Linked DNA regions of Elephas maximus indicus. The protein of the gene in region 1 interacts with the protein of each later gene in a pairwise test. Links are inferred from orthologs where the notes say so. Each region holds a gene or a part of one and is shown in the gene's direction. Other genes may lie near its edges.

What was found. The genes of interacting proteins can lie anywhere in the genome.
Region 2: the proteins of TOX4 (region 1) and ZMYND19 interact in binary tests that used the Homo sapiens proteins (3 or more experiments, as listed by UniProt). The two-hybrid records come from large-scale screens. The link is inferred for Elephas maximus indicus from reciprocal best matches to the Homo sapiens genes TOX4 and ZMYND19.

What each region holds. Positions count from the first base shown.
Region 1 is NC_064828.1:31,830,093-31,840,324, forward strand, and holds the start of TOX4 (TOX high mobility group box family member 4), read left to right. Parts: upstream 1-5,847; 5' UTR 5,848-5,912; coding exon 5,913-5,918; intron 5,919-6,130; coding exon 6,131-6,199; intron 6,200-10,232. UniProt on the Homo sapiens protein: Transcription factor that modulates cell fate reprogramming from the somatic state to the pluripotent and neuronal fate. In liver, controls the expression of hormone-regulated gluconeogenic genes such as G6PC1 and PCK1.
Region 2 is NC_064827.1:674,516-685,038, forward strand, and holds the start of ZMYND19 (zinc finger MYND domain-containing protein 19), read left to right. Parts: upstream 1-6,372; coding exon 6,373-6,423; intron 6,424-7,723; coding exon 7,724-7,783; intron 7,784-8,763; coding exon 8,764-8,870; intron 8,871-9,872; coding exon 9,873-10,013; intron 10,014-10,523. Other genes in the region: basic proline-rich protein-like, read right to left, coding at 2,784-6,374. UniProt on the Homo sapiens protein: May be involved as a regulatory molecule in GPR24/MCH-R1 signaling.

The sequences.
Region 1 (10,232 bases):
AAATCTAAGTCACACCGCTAGGGGTCTATTTTGCCATGTTTCTATACATGTAAAAACTAAAACAAAACCACTACCATATATTTCTGTACATTTAAATGCAGAGAAAAAGTCTGAACACATGTGCACTGAATCCTTAAAAACGATTTCCTCCGGTAGAGCAAGTAGCCAAGACTGGAAGAGAGAAAGGGGTTTATGCGTGGGAAGGAGACATTCACTTTTTACTCCATAAACTTCTATTTTTTAATTTTATTTGTACGGGAAGAAACTCATATATTAATTCGGTATTTTAAAATAAAGGTCAGAAGATACAGCATTCTTAATTTTAACTGTAAGAGATGAAAACGAAAGGTTCTCTATCTCCTTGATTTTGCACTTTGCCGCTCTCAGCTCCACAATGAGCCCCGCCCTCATAGCCCGGCCCTTTCCCCTGCCTCATCCTTCACTGTTCTGTTCAGATCTTAGTGAGGGCCTCAATTACTTTGTCCTCTCTCACCGTTTCCCAGATTTGCAGTTTGGTTTGTTTTTCATCAGTGCTGTCCATAGGACCCCAAACTCTACACCTGTCAGTGAAGACCAAGAGAAAGAATGTGGTTCTCGTTAACAACAGCCGTGTTGAGTGAGGTGCTCATCCTTAATGTGCACTCAGTGCTAATAAGCTCGGCAGTGTTGCCTGTTTGCTCCAAATAATTTGTGTTCCTTGAAGTTTCTTCATTTTTCTTTAAAAAAAATGGGGGGGGCGGTTTCTAAGTGATAATGACCTCGGGATTGCAACTAAAAAGCAGACATGGGAATAAGATAAATTAAAACGTCAAGTAAAGGTGAATAAGTTTCTATCAATGTTATTGTTGTTAGGTGCTGTTGAGTCGGTTCATAGGGTCCCTATGTACAACAGAACGAAATTTGATTAGGCAGTATTTAATTTTGTAATTTTTTTTTTCAATTTTTTATTGTGCAATGTCAAGTGTTGCGTGACATTGATTTAATTCTCCATAATGTGTCAGCACTCTCCCCATTTCCCTCCTAGGTTCTTGTTTCCTTTCTTCTTGAATTGCTGTTGCTTCATGCCTCCTTATCTTTGCTTTTGGGCAAACGTTGCCTTTTTAATCTAATATAATAGATTGTTCTAGGGAACACATTCCTCTCAAGTGTTATTGTTTATTCTTTGGGCCTGTCTATGGTTTGGCTGAAAGGTGGTCTCCATGATTGTCTTCAGTTCTGTTTCAGAAGGGTAACTTAGGGCCGTAGTCTCAGGGATTCTTCCAGTGTCTGACAGACCAGTAAGTCTAGTCTTATTTTGTGAGTTTGATTTTTTGTTCTACAATTTTTCTCCTGCTCTGTGTGGAACCCTCTGTTGTGATACCAGTAGAGTGGTAGGTAAATGGTAGCTGGGCACCATCTAGTTCTTCTGATCTCAGGGTCGTGTAGTCTGTGGTTAATGTGGTCTATTAGTCCTTTGGCTTAATTACTCCCTTGAGTCTTCGGTTTTAGTCACTCTCCTTTGCTCCAGATATTAAGAGACCAATAGCTGTATGTCAAATGGCCACTCACAAGCTTTTAAGACCCCAGATGCTATGCACCAAAGTAGGATGTAGAACTTTGTCTTTATTAACTATGTTGTGCCAGTTGGTGTAGATGTCCCCTAAGTCTATGATCCTTTGCCTTCGAACCCAGGAGCTTCATCCCATGAGGTGTTTGGTTATGTCTAAGAAGTTGCCCTGACTGTGGCCCTTGTGTGCTCTACTGTCTATATAAGCAGCATCTACAGTTATGTATGTAGAAATATCTACCACCAAACCTATCTCTGCAGGTGGATGTGTTCCCTTATGCCCTCCCACACCTCTTGTCATACCTATCTACCTATGTATCCATTTGTAAATTAGTGTTTGTTAATGCTATTTTAACAGGATTTTCTATGCTACAGTAATCACTGTTGTTGCCCTTTGTTCCTCTCAGTGTCCTCCCACGCCTTGGTCATGTTTTGCTGACTTCCCCCATATTGTGTATTGCCTTTCCCTTCACAAATATTAAGACATGTCTTCCATCTCTTTGGTAATTTTCCCTCCCTTTCCCACCCATTCCTGGTAACCACCAGAGAATTTTTTTTCCCGTGTGTAAACCTTTCTTGTTTCTTTATAATAGTGATCTCATACAACATTTGTCCTTTTGTGATTGACTTATTTCACTGAGCATAAAAACCAAAAAACAAACCTTTTGCCATTGGGTGGATTCCGACTGACAGCGACCCTATAGGACAGAGTAGGACCGCCCCACAGGGTTTCCAAGGCTGCCTGGTGGATTCGAACTGCCGACCCCTTGCCCAATAGCCGTAGCTCTTAACCACTACACCAGCAGGGTTGCCTCACTCAGCATAATGTCCTCCAAATTCATTTATGTTGTGAGATGTTTCACAGATTTGTCATTATTCTTTATTGTTGCATAGTATTCTACTGCATGGATGTACCACAGTTTGTTAATTCATTCATCTGTTGATGGGCACTTAGGTTGTTTCCATCGTTTTGCTACTATGAATAATATTGTAATGAATATAAGCGTGCATATGTCTATTTGTGTCACGACTGTTATTTCTTTAGGGTGTATACCTAAGAGTGGGATTGCCGGTCAGTTTTTCTGTGGTGTGATGTATGGGTCCTGTTTAATTTTTTTTTTTACAAATGGACATACAGTTTTGCCAGCACCATTTGTTAAAGAGGCTATCTTTTCTCCGTTTAATGAACTTTGGCCTTTTGTTAAAGATCAGCTGTCCATAGGTGGATGGATTTAAATCTGGGTTGTCAATTCTGTTCCATTGGTTAATTTTGTTAAGTTTTTCATAAAATATCTAAAAATTTTGATGTCTTCTTGGAGTCACTCTGTAGTCCCCCTACATGAAACAATATATATTTTTGCACATCTGGAACTTTTTATTTATTTCTAGCTTTTTAAGGAAGTGCCATATCATTTTGCATGGTGGTTGTACCATTTTACATTCCCACCAGCAGTGTATAAGACTTCCAATCTTCCTACAACCTCTCCAACATTTGTTATTTTGTTTTTTTGATTAGTGCTGGTAATGTTGAGGTGGGATGGTATCTCGCTGTAGTTTTGATTTGCATCTCTCTAATGGCTAATGATGGAGAGCATTTCTTCATGTGTTTGTTAGCCATCTGAATGTGTTCTTCGGTGAAGTATCTGTTCATATCCTTTGCCCATTTTTTAAATTGGTTTGTCCTTTTGATGTTAAGGTGTTGAAGTTTTTTAAAATAAATTTTAGAGATTAGACTCTTGTCGGATATGTCATAGCCAAAATTTTTTCCCTGATCTGTAGGTTCTCTTTTTACTCTTTTGGAGAAGTCTTTTGATAAGCATAAGTGTTTCATTTTTAGGAGGTCCCATTTATCTAGCACATCTTCTGTTGCTTGTGCATTTTTAGTTATGTTTGGTATTCTATTAATGCCATACATTAGGGCCCCTAGTGTTGTCCCTATTTTTTCTTCCGTGATCTTTATAGTTTTAGGTTTTATATTTAGATCTTTGATCCATTTTTTTAAATTAACTTTTATTGAGCTTCAAGTGAACATTTACAAATCAAGTCAGTCTGTCACATATAAGTTAATATACATCTTACTCCTTACTCCCACTTGCTCTCCCCCTAATGAGTCAGCCCTTCCAGTCTCTCCTTTCGTGAAAACTTTGGCAGCCTCCAACTCTCTCTATCCTCCGATCCCCCCTCCAGACAGGAGATGCCAACACAGTCCCAACTGTCCACCTGATATAATTAGCTCACTCTTCATCAGCATCTCTCTCCCACCCACTGTCCAGTCCCTTTCATGTCTGATGAATTGTCTTCGGGGATGGTTCCCGTTCTGTGCCAACAGAAGGTTTGGGGACCATGACCGCCGGGATTCCTCTAGTCACATCCAGACCATTAAGTATGGTCTTTTTATGAGAATTTGGGGTCTGCATCCCACTGATCTCCTGCTCCCTCAGGGGTTCTCTATTGTGCTCCCTGTCAGGGCAGTCATCGATTGTGGCCGGGCACCAACTGGTTCTTCCGGTCTCAGGATAATGTAGGTCTCTGGTTCATGTGGCCCTTTCTGTCTCTTGGGCTCTTAGTTGTCGTGTGACCTTGGTGTTCTTCATTCTCCTTTACTCCAGGTGGGTTGAGACCAATTGATGCATCTTAGATGGCCGCTTGTTAGCTTTTAAGACCCCAGAAGCCACATTTCAAAGTGGGATGCAGAATGTTTTCATAATAGAATTATTTTGCCAATTGACTCTTTGATCCATTTTGAGTGAGTTTTTGTGTGGTGTGAGGTATGGGTCCTGCTTCATGTTTTTTTTTTTTTTTTTTACAAATGGACATCCAGTTTTGCCAATACCATTTGTTAAAGAGACTATCTTTTCTCCATTTCCTGAACTTTGGCCTTTTGTTAAAGATCAGCTGTCCATGGATGGATGGATTTACATCTGGGTTCTCAATTCTGTTCCATTGGTTAATTTTGTAACTTTTTCAAAAAAATACCTAAAAATTTTGAAAATATTTCTTGATGTGTTTTTAGAGTTACTCTCTAGTCCTCCTACATGAAACTATATATTTTGCACCTCTAGAACTTTTTGTTTGAGAAAGAAGCCTATCTGAGAATTAGGTTGTCAAGAGTGATATACTTCGGATGTTTAATAACTCCCATAGTTCATTGGAAAGTAGTCTCTTGAATAAAAAATAGGAGTATGGAAATTGGCAGTCTGAATAAGTCTTTTGGTTTACCTGGCATTCACCTTGTCTCAAGAATTAAAAACTGAAGGTCAGTTACATGAAAAATTCTTGGCCACAGTCAGACAACTTGGCCTACTTTCTATCTTCATACAGTACTTTGCACATAGCATGAGGAATTCTGATTTGCAAGAAAGTGCACTAATACGGCTTATGCTAAAGGGTTGATATACACTTGTTCAGTGTCTCACATAGGTACGCAGAGATATCCAAAATATCTCAACTCTAAGGTGCTGCAGTTAAGGAAGATACAAGAATCACTTCGTACTATTCTAGATTGCTTCATGAAGTATCGAGTGGTAGCTACTGAAAAAAAGTTGCTAAATCTTTTTTCCCCCTAGAGTAGGAATAGAATTTCAACAGGTTAGAATTGAAAATAAAGCTTTTGTCTCCCTTTATGCAGTTTCCTCTAGTTATGCACTCAAAGACTCTACAATTTGTATAGATTTTCTATCCAACTGTCATATTTTCTATCCAGCTGTCGTATTCTCTTGGTACAGAGAACAGAATTCTGAAAGAAACATGTCCTCTGTCGGACTCTGGGGAAAACTTGATTGATCACTACACTTCTCGGTTTTAAAACTTGTCATTTGCTCAACATTTCCTTCAGGTGAGCCTTGCTGGCAGAGTGGTTAAGTGCTAAGCATAAAGGTCGGCAGTTCGAATCCACGATCCCGCTCCTTGAAACGCTATGGGCAGTCCTACTCTGTCCTATAGGGTCGCTGAGTCGGAATGGACTCGACAGCAACGGGCCTTCCGGTGTTTTAAAACTTGGTACCTAATTTTTTCTCTAGCTTTACTTCTTGCCACGCTTCGAACTCCATGCTCCAGCCATATTAAATCACTTTCAGTTTTCCAAAAGTGGCCTGATTCCTGTTCTCTTCAGAAAACCTCTCTCGATCCGGAGCGGCGGAAACACTCCAACGCCGCCTCCAAAGACGCCTCTAGCACCTCCACATGCCATTACTCCACCTAGCTCCAGGGGGCGAGCGTTAGCCTCTCCGTACGCTCGGCCTTGCTAGGCCTGACTGGCTGCCGCAAAGAGTGACGCACATCCTTACGGAAGTGACGTAAGTTCCGAGTCCAGTAGGGGCGGTGGGAGCAATGAGGGGAGTAAGGCGGTGGTAGCTGTTGTGTGAAGATGGAGGTAGGAACCCGAGCGCTAAGAAGGCTGGCGAGAGAACGCGGCCGACGGGGTTGAAGCAGAGGCGAGAGGCCGGGCGGAGAGGCGGCTGACGGGGGAGGAGAGAGACAGCCGGGTTTGGGGAGTGTTGTCAGAAGGTCGGGGTCAGAATACGTCGCTCCAAGCTCCTCCCTGCTCCCGCTAACTTATCCCCGCGGCTTTCTTTTGGTTTCCAGTTTCCCGGAGGAAATGACAATTACCTGACGATCACAGGGCCCTCGCACCCCTTCCTGTCAGGGGCCGAGGTGAGCAAGAGCTGCCGACGCTGCGGGGGGAGGGCCTGAGGCAGCGGGCGGGGGTGGGGGTAGGTTGGTGGGGCGGGGAGCGCGGAAGCCGGGGGCCGGGGGCTGGGAACCGGGGCCGCGATTGGTGTTTAGAGAAAAGTGGCAGCTGCTTCTGGAGCCTGTGAGGACTGTGTGGGGTGGGTCCGGGCAACTGCTGTCATTAGAAAAGCAGAACGTTGGAAAGAGATTATCTGTTTAAGGAGAAGATTGATTCTGGATTGGAAGACTGCGAGGAACTGTCTCATTTTGTTGGGCTTGAAAATTTTTAGCTAAAGAAATTGGGATGAGGGGAGGAGCTTACCTAGCAGGGGTTAAGTGTGGATATGTGCTCATTCTTGAAAGGAACACTGTTTAAGGGATCTTTTTCCATTTACATTTCCTACTCAGGAAATGTAAAAAGTTAAAAAATTAGTAGGTATGTTTACATACATGGTGCCAGCATGTTTTGCTAATGACAAGAGGAAAAGAAATAGTTGCCAGAGAACATGAAGAGAGTTGAGTAGAACATGTCTTCTTGCTTGCCAGTGACTCAGAGTTTCGGCAGGTTGCTTCCTCTTTGTATGTCACAGTTTCCCTAGCTATCACGTGGCTATAATAATAGTTTATGATGTTGTGAAGTAGAAGTAATTGTTATGGTAAGGTCCTTTAGTATTTGTGGAATATTGTCAGAATACAGATTTGTATCACTTGTTTAGACAAGGCAAAACAGAAAGGTGGAACATACAAAATACATTTTTCAGTCTTTGAGAAAGTGTGAAGTCTTCATCTTTCTACTGTCTTTTGAGTATTATTTTTTCCATGAGTAGAGTGAACAATTTGCATCTGTTTTTGTACCAAGGATTCTCAATTGCTGTTGAACGGGCTTATCCTACAATAAATCCTAAAATTCTCATGGATGAGAATAAGGTTGACAAGGAGCAGTTGCTAGTCTTTTTTTTTTTTTTTAACTTCTTTATTGGTATTATCATTTATTACTCCACCATTGAATTTCAGTTTTTGGAATGTTATAAATTTCACATTAGCCTCATCCACGTGAAAGTACATTTCAAAACTAAATATAAGTAGCTTTCAAATTTACCCATGATTCTTAATCCTTTGCCCCTTTTATGAACTTGTAACTACATAAGAAGTGGCGCCTTTTTATAACTTCAAGAAACTCTTCAGGTTTAAGGCTGATCTTTTTTGATGACTTTAAGAAAAAAATAGAACATTTTTGTCAAGAAACTCATAACTAAATTTTAGACTCAAGTTCAGTAGCTTCCTGTAGCCTAGGACTTCTGTCATTGCTAACTTTTAATGGGTTTGTGGCTTTTGTTGTATCTGATCTTACTGTGAGCCACCCCAAATATAGTTTAGAGATAAGCAAAGGTAATTTTTAAAAAAATTTTTTTTAGAGTTTTCTTATAAGAAAAGGATAGACATCTACAAAGGGCATTAACCATAAAAGAAAACACAGAGAAATTGGACTTCATTGAAATAAGGAACTTTTTTTGTTAAAAGACATCATTAAGAAAGTAAATAGGAACTCCATAGATTGGGAGAAGATGTTTACAATACATATATATCTGATTAATATTCAGAGTACATCAAGTAATTCTGCAGAGTAAAAGAACTGAATTTAGAAATAGGCAAAAAATTTGAGCAGGTACTTCACAAAAGATGATATCCATGTTGCTATTAGGCATATAAAAAAGTGTCATCATCACTTATCAGGGAAATGCAAATTAAAATCATAATTAGAAACTATTGCCTACCTGCTAAAAAAAAAAAAAAAACCTGCTAGAAGGTTAAAATTAAAAAGACTGACAATTCCCAAGAGTTTGCAAGGATGTAGATAACCTCATTCATTGCTGCTGAGAGTATAAATTGATTCAACCACTTAGGAAAACTGGCAGCATATACTAAAGATAAGCTTATGCCTACACTGTGACCCATCAGTTCCACTCGTTGATACATACTCAAGAGAAATGAGTGCATATGTTCACTAAACATATGTAAGAATGTTCACAGCAACTTTACTCATAATAGCTAAACATTGGAACCAACCCAGGTATCAACTGAAGAACGGATAAGTAAACTGTGGCACATTTGTGAAAGGAATACTACATAACAATAAAGAAAGAATGAACTACTAATAAATACTACAATAACTTGGATGATCTCAAAAATATATTTTTGACTGAAAGAAGGCAGATACAAGAGTATACACTGTATGAGTTCATTTTTTTTGTGAAGGTAAGGATAGGCAAAAATTAAACTTTTCATTAGGTGCTGTTGAGTCAGTTCTGATACATCGACCCTGTGTACAACAGAATGAAACACTACCTGGTCCTGCACTGCCCTCACAGTGGTTGCTATGTTTGAACCAATTGTTGCCGCCACTGTGTCACTCCCGTTCGTTGAGGGTCTTCCTCTTTTTTGCTGATCCTCTACAAAGCATGATGTCTTTCTCCAGGGACTAGTCCCTCCTGCTAACATGTCCAAAGTACGTGAAACGAAGCCTCACCATCCTCGCGTCTAATGAGCATTCTGGCTGTACTTCTTCCAGGATAAACTTGTTTGTTCTGGCGGTCCATGGTATATTTAATATTTTTTGCCAGCACCATAATTCAAAAGCATCAATTCTTCTTCAGTCTTCCTTATTCATTGTCCAGCTTTTGCATATAAGACAATTGAAAATATCATGGCTTGGGTTGGGCACACCTTAGTCCTCAAAGTGACATCTTTGCTTTTTAACTTTAAAGAGGTCTTTTGCAGTGGATTTACCCAATGCAATATGTCGTTTGATTTCTTGATTGCTGTTCTCATGGGCTTTGATGGTGGATCTAAGTAGAATGAAGTCGATAACTTCAATATTTTCTCCATCTATTATGAAGTTATTTAATGGTCCAGTTGTGAGTGTTTTTGTTTTCTTTATGTTGAGGTGTTGAAGGCTGTAGTCTTTGATCTTCATCAGTAAGTTCTTCAAGTTCTCTTTGCTTTCAGCAAACAAGGTTGTGTCATCTGCATAACGGGGGTTGTTAATGAGTCTTTGTCTGATCCTCTTGCCATGTTCTTCATATAGTCCAGCTTCTCGGATTATTTGCTCAGCATATCGATTGAGTAAGTATAGTGAAAGGATATAGCCCTGACACACACCTTCCCTGATTTTAAACAATGCAGTATCCACTCATTCTGTTTGAACAAGACTGTTTCTTGGTCTATGTACAGGTTCTGCATGAGCACAATTAAGTGTTTTGGAATTCCCATCCTCTGTAATGTTATCTGTAATTTGTTAAGATCTACACAGTCAAATGCCTTTGTGTAATCAGTAAAACACAGGTAAACATCTGATATTCTCTGCTTTCAGCCAAGATCCATCTGATATCAACAATGATATCCCTCATTCCTCTTCTGAATCTGGCTTGAATTTCTGGCAGTTCCCTGTTGTACGGCTGCAGCCATTTTTGAATTATCTTCATCAAAATTTTACTTGCATGTGATATTAATGATATTCGAAAATTTCTGCATTCTGTTGAATCACCTTTCTTTGGAATGGAACATGAATCTCTTCTGGTTGGTTGGCCAGATAGCTGTCTTCCAAATTCCTTGATGTAGACGAGTGAGTGCTTCCAGCATTGCATCCATTTGTTTAAACATCTCACACTTGGTATTCCGTCAGTGCTCTTGAATGTGGAGTAGCTAAAGCAAATGTAAGAAATGATGAAGTCAAAGAGCTGAGCAGAAGATTTCAAAGGGTGGCTGAAGAAGACGTGGTAAAGTAATATAACGAAATGTGCAGAGACCTGGAGTTAGAAAACCAAAATGGAAAGAACACACTTGGTATTTCTCAAGCTGAAAGGACTGAAGAAAAAAATTCAAGCCTGGAGTTGCAACATTGAAGAATTCTATGGGCAAAACTAAACTAGGGAGGTAAAAATCAGAATAGTGGTACGTGCTGTGAGGAGGAATACGTATTGACCAGGAAGGGGCATGAGGGCACCTATTCCACCAA
Region 2 (10,523 bases), on another chromosome or scaffold:
TCACATGTGCCTGGCACAACTGCAATCCAACTCCTACTTCCCTGCTTTCTCCTCAGCGGCCTCAAGAGGCTAGAAGAAAATGCACAGTCCACTTGCTGGCCTCCTTGCACATCGCCATCCTTCCCTAGATCGCCCAGGTACCCTGCCCAAGGCAGTCCTGTCTTCTCTGCTGCGAATGCTTGCTCTCTCATCCTCATGTTCACTGATGACCTTGTTTTGGGCTTGAGATATCGAAGCAATCAGAAGAGAACTTCCCCAAGCTCCCCGCAGCACACCGACTCCCCTCAGACTCCTTGCCCTCCCTGTGTTATCACTGTGTGATGCCTCTCTGGTGAACTCTGGATCGCCAGCGTGATCCTGTGGAAATGTGACCCCACTGCTCAGACCCCCCGGTGACCTCACTTCTGTCTTAGGTCAAAGTCCTTCAACAGCCTTCATAGCCTCCCCCCTTGCCCTTTGACCTTACCCCTGCTGTCTCTCCGCTGTCCACTCCAGTCCCTCAAACCTGCCTCACTCACATGTCCCCAGCTCAGGGCCTTCACACTGGCTGTTCCCCGTGCTAGGAATGTTCCTACCCTAACCATCCGTGTAGCTCATCCACTCCTCCCACTGTTTGCTCAAAAGCAGTTTTCCCAGTGAGGCTCTGCCCAGGGCTTCACACTGGCACCCCCACTTCTTTATCTGAGCTCCTTCCTTTCCTTCCTAACATGCTGTGTCTTTCACTAGAGGTGTATTTCTGTCTCTCTCACTGGTGTGTGAGCTGGTTTAAGTCCCCCATGCCTCCTCCAGGACCTGGATAACAGAGTGGGTGCCCAGTGATGACAAAGGTCCTTGGGCCTTGGGCCTTGACGAGGGCCATCATGTGGAGCAGATGACCCAGAGATGGTGTGGTCGGCAGAGTGGCCCCCAAAGGTATAGCACCCTCACTGCAGGAACTTGGTGTTTCATGGCAGATGTAATTAAGGTCACCGATCAGTGACCTTACAATGGGGGTTATCCTGGGTTATTGATCAGGGACAATGGACTCACACGAGCTCTTAAAAGCAGAGACCTTTCTCCAGCTGAAGGAAGGAGAATCTGAAGCTGAGAAAGGCTCCTCCTGCCATTGCTGGCTTTGAAGATGAGGGAAATGCAGGTGGCCTCCAGAGGCTGAGAAGGGCCGATTTGCTGGCCACCTGAGTGATCCTGGGAGCAGCCTGTTCCAGAGCCTCCCCAGTGGCGGCCCAGACCGCCAGCACCTGCAGTAGAGAAACCCACTTTGGACCCACGGAATGGTGAGATCATGGATTTAATACGCTTCATTTGTGGTAGATTGTTAAAAAGGCATAGAAAATGAATATGCTAGGAGAAAAGGCACAGGAGACAGTGGCTCGAGGGGGGTGTAGGGGAGAGTTTTCCTTTTAATGGGTACCTGACAGAGGAATGGGTGCTGTCTCATTTCACCCGCACACACACTGAAGCCATGCATTGGCATGTTCTTTATACTTGGGGGCTGCATTGAGACCCAGAGACCAAGTGACTTGCCCAGAGCAGTCCAGGCACATGCCCTCCACCATCTGGGCCCTGCTCACAGCACCTTACACCTGCCATTTTCATCTCCATCACCTGAAAGTTCTCTCCCTTCAGCTGTGGCTGTGGGAGCCAGCTCTGCCAAGCAGGCTAGATATGACAGGGACAGACCTTCCCCAGGACCAGCCCCAACCAAGGACCCAGCAGAGCAGGGGAGTAGGTGCCCCTCTGTGTCCCATACTGACTTCCAGAGTGTACCGGGAAGAGCTCCGCTGGCTTTAGCAACACCTTTTACGGGTTCCTGTTCTTCTCTTTCCTGCTTCCCGTTCCCACTCCCCTTCCAGTGCTTTCTGGGACCTCCTCCCAAACAAACAACTTGCACTAAAATCCCTGTTTCAAGTCAAGCCTAAACCAAGGTACCAGTGTCCCTTGGCTGTCCTCCAAGAGCCGCACCCAGCTCTCGTGCTTGAGGTGCTTCATCCCAGGGCACTTTCTCAGAATTCATGCACCTTCAGGATTCTGGGAGGTTGGTAGGACAGGGTGTCCCGATGAGTAAGGACCAGCCTTGAACCCAGATGCCTCATCTCCACACAACCAGGACCAACAGCCTTTCCTCTCCCCCAGGAAGGCAGGGATATGCCCCAAGCAGAGGTGGGTCTAGGCCTCGCCCCCAACCCTGACAGATGCCCACCAGGCCCTTGGCCCCTCCCTGGTGGGCCCTTCTTCCCAGAGACCTAAGAGGCCAGAATGGAATTCTCTGAAGTTCCTGTTTCGGGAAAGACTTGGGCCTAGGACCCTTCCTGCCCCAGCTCACAGAGGAAGGCTGGCTCTCACAAAAGGCTGGTGTGGCTTGAAGGTGGGCTGCATGGAGAAGCCCCAGGCCCTGGTGGCACCCTGCCCCACTACTCTAACTGGGTATCTACCAAGACCATGAGAAGTGGAGCGTGCAAGTGTCCTGAAGGACAGGAAGACACTCACTGCCCCAGCCAGCAAGCAACCCCCCTCAGGTGGGCAGGGGGCTTAAGCAGTCTTTGCAGGACCTGTCCCCAGCACCAGCATCTGGCCAAGATCCTGGAGCGTGGCCCCCTCGCTCCAGTCCTCCCCACATCCAAAGACTACCCTAGCCATCGGCCCGAGGGTAGCCTGATCCTGCCCTGCTCAAGATCCCCCTGGAGCTCCGGGACCCGGGCCCACTCACACCCCTAGCCGGGCCTGGCCTTGGGGCTCGCCGTCCCTGCAGCAGCAGCAGCAGCAGCAGCAGCAGGCTCTGCTCTTTACCCCTCTCCCTTCTGGACTTGGTGGAAGAACGGGTAACAAAGACTGCGGCCCACCTCTGAGAGCCCCGTGGGCCCGGCAAACCCGGAGACCCAGACCGCAGGGTCTCTTGGAATGCCCGGAGCCACTGTTGCTTGAGGACCAGGGTTGCCATGAGGAAGGGTTGGCCTCGGCCTAGGGTCGGTGGGCCGGGGAGACACGGGCGGGGAGGAGGGGACCGGCCGGGCGTCAGAATCAAGGGCCTGTGGTCGGGGAAGGGGCGAGGCGGACAGCGGGGCGGGGCCGGACCGAAAAGCCACGGGCGCCACGGGGCGAGGGGGCGAGGGCAGGGACCGAGAGGCCACGGGAGGCACGTGGGGGAGCGAGGGCAGGGACCGAGAGGCCACGGGCGGCACCGGGGGAATGGGGGCAGGGACCGAGAGGCCACGGGAGGCACGTGGGGAATGGGGGCAGGGACCGAGAGGCCACGGGCCTGGGACAGGGGGCGGGGGCGGGACCGAGAGGCCACGGGCGGCACGGGGGGGGCGAGGGCAGGGACCGAGAGGCCACGGGCCTGGGACAGGGGGCGGGGGCGGGACCGAGAGGCCACGGGCGGCACGGGGGGGGGTGGAAGCCTCGACAGAGAGGCCACGGGCCTGGGACGGGGGACGGGGGGCGGGGGGCGGGGGGCGGGGGCGGGACCGAGAGGACACGGGCGGCACCGGGAGTGGGGGCAGGGACCGAGAGGCCACGGGCGGCACGGGGGGGGCGAGGGCAGGGACCGAGAGGCCACGGGTGGCACCGGGGGAGTGGGGGCAGGGACCGAGAGGCCACGGGCGGCACCGGGGGAGTGGGGGCAGGGACCGAGAGGCCACGAGCGGCACGGGGGGGGCGAGGGCAGGGACCGAGAGGCCACGGGCGGCACCGGGGGAGTGGGGGCAGGGACCGAGAGGACACGGGCGGCACCGGGAGTGGGGGCAGGGACCGAGAGGCCACGGGCGGCACGGGGGGGGCGAGGGCAGGGACCGAGAGGCCACGGGCGGCACCGGGGGAGTGGGGGCAGGGACCGAGAGGACACGGGCGGCACCGGGAGTGGGGGCAGGGACCGAGAGGCCACGGGCGGCACCGGGGGAGTGGGGGCAGGGACCGAGAGGCCACGGGCGGCACGGGGGGGGCGAGGGCAGGGACCGAGAGGCCACGGGCGGCACCGGGGGAGTGGGGGCAGGGACCGAGAGGACACGGGCGGCACCGGGAGTGGGGGCAGGGACCGAGAGGCCACGGGCGGCACCGGGGGAGTGGGGGCAGGGACCGAGAGGCCACGGGCGGCACGGGGGGGGCGAGGGCAGGGACCGAGAGGCCACGGGCGGCACCGGGGGAGTGGGGGCAGGGACCGAGAGGACACGGGCGGCACCGGGAGTGGGGGCAGGGACCGAGAGGCCACAGGCGGCACGGGGGGGGCGAGGGCAGGGACCGAGAGGCCACGGGCGGCACCGGGGGAGTGGGGGCAGGGACCGAGAGGACACGGGCGGCACCGGGAGTGGGGGCAGGGACCGAGAGGCCACGGGCGGCACCGGGGGAGTGGGGGCAGGGACCGAGAGGCCACGGGCGGCACGGGGGGGGCGAAGGCAGGGACCGAGAGGCCACGGGCGGCACCGGGGGAGTGGGGGCAGGGACCGAGAGGACACGGGCGGCACCGGGAGTGGGGGCAGGGACCGAGAGGCCACGGGCGGCACCGGGGGAGTGGGGGCAGGGACCGAGAGGCCACGGGCGGCACGGGGGGGGCGAGGGCAGGGACCGAGAGGCCACGGGCGGCACCGGGGGAGTGGGGGCAGGGACCGAGAGGCCACGGGCGGCACGGGGGGGGCGAGGGCAGGGACCGAGAGGCCACGGGCGGCACCGGGGGAGTGGGGGCAGGGACCGAGAGGCCACGGGCCTGGGACAGGGGGCGGGGGCGGGACCGAGAGGCCACGGGAGGCTACGGGGGTCGTGGGGGCCGGGACCGAGAGGCCACAGGCGGCACGGGGGGGGGCGAGGGCACGGACCGAGAGGCCACGGGCGGCACCGGGGGAGTGGGGGCAGGGACCGAGAGGCCACGGGCGGCACGGGGGGGGGCGAGGGCAGGGACCGAGAGGCCACGGGCGGCACCGGGGGAGTGGGGGCAGGGACCGAGAGGCCACGGGCGGCACGGGGGGGGCGAGGGCAGGGACCGAGAGGCCACGGGCGGCACCGGGGAATGGGGGCAGGGACCGAGAGGCCACGGGCGGCACGGGGGGGGCGAGGGCAGGGACCGAGAGGCCACGGGCGGCACCGGGGGAGTGGGGGCAGGGACCGAGAGGACACGGGCGGCACCGGGAGTGGGGGCAGGGACCGAGAGGCCACGGGCGGCACCGGGGGAGTGGGGGCAGGGACCGAGAGGCCACGGGCGGCACCGGGGGAGTGGGGGCAGGGACCGAGAGGACACGGGCGGCACCGGGAGTGGGGGCAGGGACCGAGAGGACACGGGCGGCACCGGGAGTGGGGGCAGGGACCGAGAGGCCACGGGCGGCACCGGGGGAGTGGGGGCAGGGACCGAGAGGACACGGGCGGCACCGGGAGTGGGGGCAGGGACCGAGAGGACACGGGCGGCACCGGGGGAGTGGGGGCAGGGACCGAGAGGCCACGGGCGGCACGGGGGGGGCGAGGGCAGGGACCGAGAGGCCACGGGCGGCACCGGGGGAGTGGGGGCAGGGACCGAGAGGCCACGGGCGGCACGGGGGGGGCGAGGGCAGGGACCGAGAGGCCACGGGCGGCACCGGGGGAGTGGGGGCAGGGACCGAGAGGCCACGGGCCTGGGACAGGGGGCGGGGGCGGGACCGAGAGGCCACGGGCGGCAACGGGGGTCGTGGGGGCCGGGACCGAGAGGCCACGGGTGGCACGGGGGGGGCGGGGGCAGGGACCGAGAGGCCACGGGCCTGGGGCGGGGGGTGGGGCCGGGACCGAGAGGCCACAGGCGGCACGGGGGGGGTGGAAGCCTCGACAGAGAGGCCACGGGCCTGGGACGGGGGACGGGGGACGGGGGGCGGGGGCGGGACCGAAAGGCCACGGGCCGGACGAGGGGCGGGGGCCGGGGGCCGGGACTGAGAGGCCACGGGCCGGACCGGGGGGTGGGGACGGACCGCCAGGCTCCGCGGAGCACAAAGCTTCCCGCGAAACTGACGTAGGCGCACGCCCGCCGCGCAAGCACCGCCCCTTCGCCCCGCCCCTCCCCCGCGCTTGCTTGGCTCCGCATTGCGCCTGCGCGCCCGCTGTCCTCCCATTGGTCGCTGAGCGTCGGCGCGCGCCGGCCGGCGCGGTGCGCGGCTCGCGATTGGCTGGCGGGCGCGGGCCGGGGGTGTGTTCGCGGCCGCGCCCCGCCCTCTGCTGCTCCACTCGCGGCGGTGCGCGCGGCGGTGGCGGCGGCGGCGGCGGCGCGTGGCAGGTCCGGCGGGCGCGAGGCGGCGCGGCCCGAGCCCGGCCCAGCCTGTCCGCCCGGGCCGCCTGGACCCGCCCGGTCCGCCGCGGCCTCGCCGCCCGGCCTCAACCCGGCGCCTCCCGGGGGAGCGGCGCGCCGGCGAGCGCGCAGGCCCGGCCATGACCGACTTCAAGCTGGGCATCGTGCGGCTCGGCCGGGTGGCCGGCAAGGTGAGCGGCGCGGGCCGGGCGGGCGCGGCGGGCGGTTGCGGCGGCGGGCGGTTGCGGCGGCGGGTGGGCCGGGCCCCGCGGCGCGCCTCCCTGCACAGGCCGGCCGCGGCCCGGAGCGCACCCCTCCTGCGGGCCCGGGCCGGCTAAGTGCGCGGCGGGCCGCTCCCGCCTCGGGTTGGAGGCCCCGGGACGGAGGCCGCGCTCCTGTACCGCCCGGGGGGCTCCCGCGCCCGGCCGCGCTCACCTGCGGCACCTCCGAGGGGTGCTTAGGGGCCGGGGCCTAGCCGGTGTCGGGGTGCGCTGGCGGCGCCCCGCGTGCGCGCAGACCTGTCCGGTGCTCCTGGCTCTGTCTGTTGAGGCGGCCCCGCGGGGGCCGGTGGCAGAGAGCGCAGCCAGCCCTAGTGGAGCGCCGGCGCGGTGAGGCCGCCAGGGGCTGGCCGAGGGTGGCCACCAGTGGGCCCATCAGGGCAGGGTCCTGTGCGGCGAGGCTGAGGGTCCACTCACTCCTCTTTCTGGTCCTCGCCCTCCAGCGTTTGAGGCCGGGGCCTCGGGCACCCGTGAGCTTGGCTGTTTCCAGGGGCTGGCTGTCCCGCTGCACCCACCGCTCCCCAAGGGGAACCTGGTGCCTGCTCCCAGTGGCTGAGGCTTGTGGTGGGAGACAGGAGCGGAGGCAGACGAAGGTGAAGTCCAGTGGGCTGGGAATTGTCTCCGCCGGTACCAGCAGTGAGAGAAGATTAGGGGCAGTTCCTGTCCTTCCTCAGGAGCGCGGGCAAAGGCCCTTGGGATGCGCTTTCTGACCAGGGAAGGGCTGCTCCGTCCCAGTTGCCCGGAGACTCTTTCTGACATAGTAGTTGGATGCATTAATGCCATCACTTAAGATTTTTGTCTGGAACACTTAAGGCAGAAAAAGCTAAAGAGAATGAATCAGGGAGCAGCTGTAAACTTCACTCAACTTAATAAATGCTAATTGGAGCCTCCTGGGTGTTCTTTCTCAATCAAGGCCGATCTTTCTACCTTAGTAACTAGATTTAAGGAGCTGTTACAGAGACTTTGGCAGGTGGTCTGGCTCAGTGTTGTTCTTACAGTGAGTCTTATGTGGATGGAGGTTCAAACCTTGTTACTTGTCTCTCTGATGCCAAAGTGGAAATGCATCCACCGAGAGTGGACTGAGAGGCTCGCTTGCTGACCTGTCCTGACTTCTCAGCTAGCATACCTCACGGCTGCCTATTACAGTTTATAATTTCAGGGTGCCATTAGTTCGTCCCAAATATAAAAATGTTACACATTTGTTAATTTCCAGACCAAGTACACGCTGATCGATGAACAAGATATCCCCCTGGTGGAGAGCTACTCCTTCGAGGTAAGGATGGCGTTCTCTGCGGGCCAGGTTGGGGCTGATGGTGGTCTTGAGAACGTGTCGTCCTGCGCTGTAAGCGTGGAATCTTGTCCTGAGTAGCTGGTGCTGGCTGTGGACCACTTGGGGCCACCACATCCAAACCACGGTGTCACAGTAGTCTGACGGTCACTGCTGCTGGGGTTCACAGTGGACTCTCCCTGCAGCTCCCGCTGGCCAGAAACACTGACCTTTCCCTGCATCCATTCTGCCTGCCAGCTCTGTTCCCCAAAAACAGACCAGATTCTGTCGACTTTGACTAAATGTCTTTGTCAAACCTGTTGAAGCTGTTAATCCTTAGAAACGCTTGCTGGTCTCCCGCCTTGGTCCTGCCTACCCCCATCAGCCGGAAGGCCTCCCCCCTCCGATCGCTCCACGTCCCTGCTGCCCTGGGCCTAGGTGTGGCCTTCTCGCCTCTTTCTCATCGTCTTCTACCCGTTGGACTCTTGTCCATGCCTCTGATCTTCATCTAATATCCCCTTTTCTTGGAAAACTCCTAGGAGTTTGTTGCTGCTCTGCGTTTTCTTCTGGGTCCCTAACCCTTCTCACTGTGGTTGTTTGTTCAAGGGCTTATTTTGCCCCCTGGCTGGGGGCTTTTCTAAGGGTAGGGACAGCTCTGATCACACTTCTGTCCACAGTGCTTTGTTGTGAGCATTTGCCAGAGCGGAGAGAGCACAATTGTGAGTATTTGCCAGAGCGGAGAGAGCACAATTGTGAGCATTTGCCAGAGGGGAGAGAGCACAATTGTCAGGATGTGGTGTGGTGCCTGTGCTCCTGGTTGGGAAACCTCTCAGGACACGATGGCACGTCCCAACAGGCACTTGGACCTAGGCTGGTGCTGGCATTTGTTCCTCCGGCTTGTCTGTTTCACTTTGTTTCTAGGAAGAGTTTGAAATGTTGGTGAGAATCAGAAATGTGTTAACTGACCTTCCCTTGTTCCTTCTTAGGCTCGGATGGAAGTAGATGCAGATGGAAATGGTGCTAAGATATTCGCTTATGCCTTTGACAAGAATCGAGGACGGGGCTCTGGACGGCTGCTGCATGAGCTGCTGTGGTGGGTATTTACAGCAGTGGCCGTGGCGGCGGCCGCAAGTACAGTGGGCTTCCCTTATCCCCCGCCTTGGGCTTTGTGGGCACGGGGCACAGAGGTGGTGAGCAGATGGTTCCCTTGGGCTGGATCTGCCTCGCCACCTCTGAGCGTCCTTTCCACTAACCTGAAGGAGTGACTAATTTTCATCTTATGTTACTTAGTACCTATCTTGAAAGTCTCCCAGTTGCCAGGGAACTTGCTGCCCTGGGCTCTGACGGGGCAGGCATGGGGTGGGGGCTGTCTCACCTGGGTGTGTGCAGCAAGATCCCTTGGGGGGTCCCTCCTTGTTTGGTTTTTCAGTCCAGGAACTGAATTGCCAAGGGTAGGGACTCTGTTCTGTCTGTTTCTAACTCCCATACTGGGCTTCCTCTGGCCCAGTCCTGCCCCGGAACTTGCCCATTGGGATTTTAAGGGCCATTTCAGATCCTGTGGCTTGTTTTTCTTTCTGGTTGTGCCTTCACATTTAACCAAAAATATTTGTGAGGTATACTAACAGGATGCAATGTTATTGGTTATAAAGAGATATATACTACGACACAGTAGAACCTTGAAAATATCGTGACGAGAAAAGTTAGTCACAAAAGCATAAATGTTATACCATCTTTTACATGAAACGTCTAGAATAGACCAACATAAAGTAAAACTTATTAGTGGCAAGAGAAGGGGGAGGAGCGGGGGGGTGGTGGTCACTGCTTAGAGGGCACTGGGTTTTTGTTAAGAGTGATGGAAAACTTGGAACTTGGTGGTGATGGCCACACGGCACAGTGGACTTGATAACATCACTGATGGGAAATCTGGAACATGGTGATGATGGCAACACAACACGACAAAGATAACGATGTCACCGAATTATACATGTAAAAATGTTAAAACCGCAAGTGTTTTATATGTATTTTTATCACGTGCACGTAAAAACCCATGTTTGTGAGGGTCTGGTGGGCCACTCTTGAGCATTTCTGTCCCTAGGGAGCGGCACAGGGGTGGTGTTGCCCCCGGCTTCCAGGTGGTGCATCTCAATGCTGTGACTGTGGACAACCGGCTGGACAACCTGCAGCTGGTGCCCTGGGGCTGGCGACCCAAGGCCGAGGAGCTTTCCAGCAAGCAGAGGTGGGTCCTCACGGGGTGGTGCCAGTGGCCAGGCTGGTGGCCTGAGGCCCTCTTCGTAAGGGGTACGTCGGCTCTCTGCCCTGACCCTGCTGTGTGCATTTGGACCTGGTATGGAGTCTCTCTGTCTTTTATGGAGTAGGAGAGGATTATGGTGTAGTCTTTGTGGGCTCATCTCCTGGTGACTGTTTCCGGGGGTCTTCTTCAGCTGCTGTGATGAGTGAGGGCATTTGGCTGTGTGCCTGCAGGCAGCAGGACCACAGTGGCCAGGGCAGTGGCAGGCCTTTGCATGCTTCCTCCTGAGGAGGCTGCCTGTGTGACCACATGGGGCTTTGGTTGTGCTCCAAGCCATGGTGGGAGGATGCAGGGACTCCGCCTGGCACAAGCCTCCCTCTTGGGGTCTGGGGCCCTCAGGCAGCCTAGATGCCAGCCTCTCAGAGCCCTGGGAAGGCAATCACCCTGGCAGGGCCCAAACTGGGGTGCCTCTGGTGTCCTATTGTGTCTGTACCAATG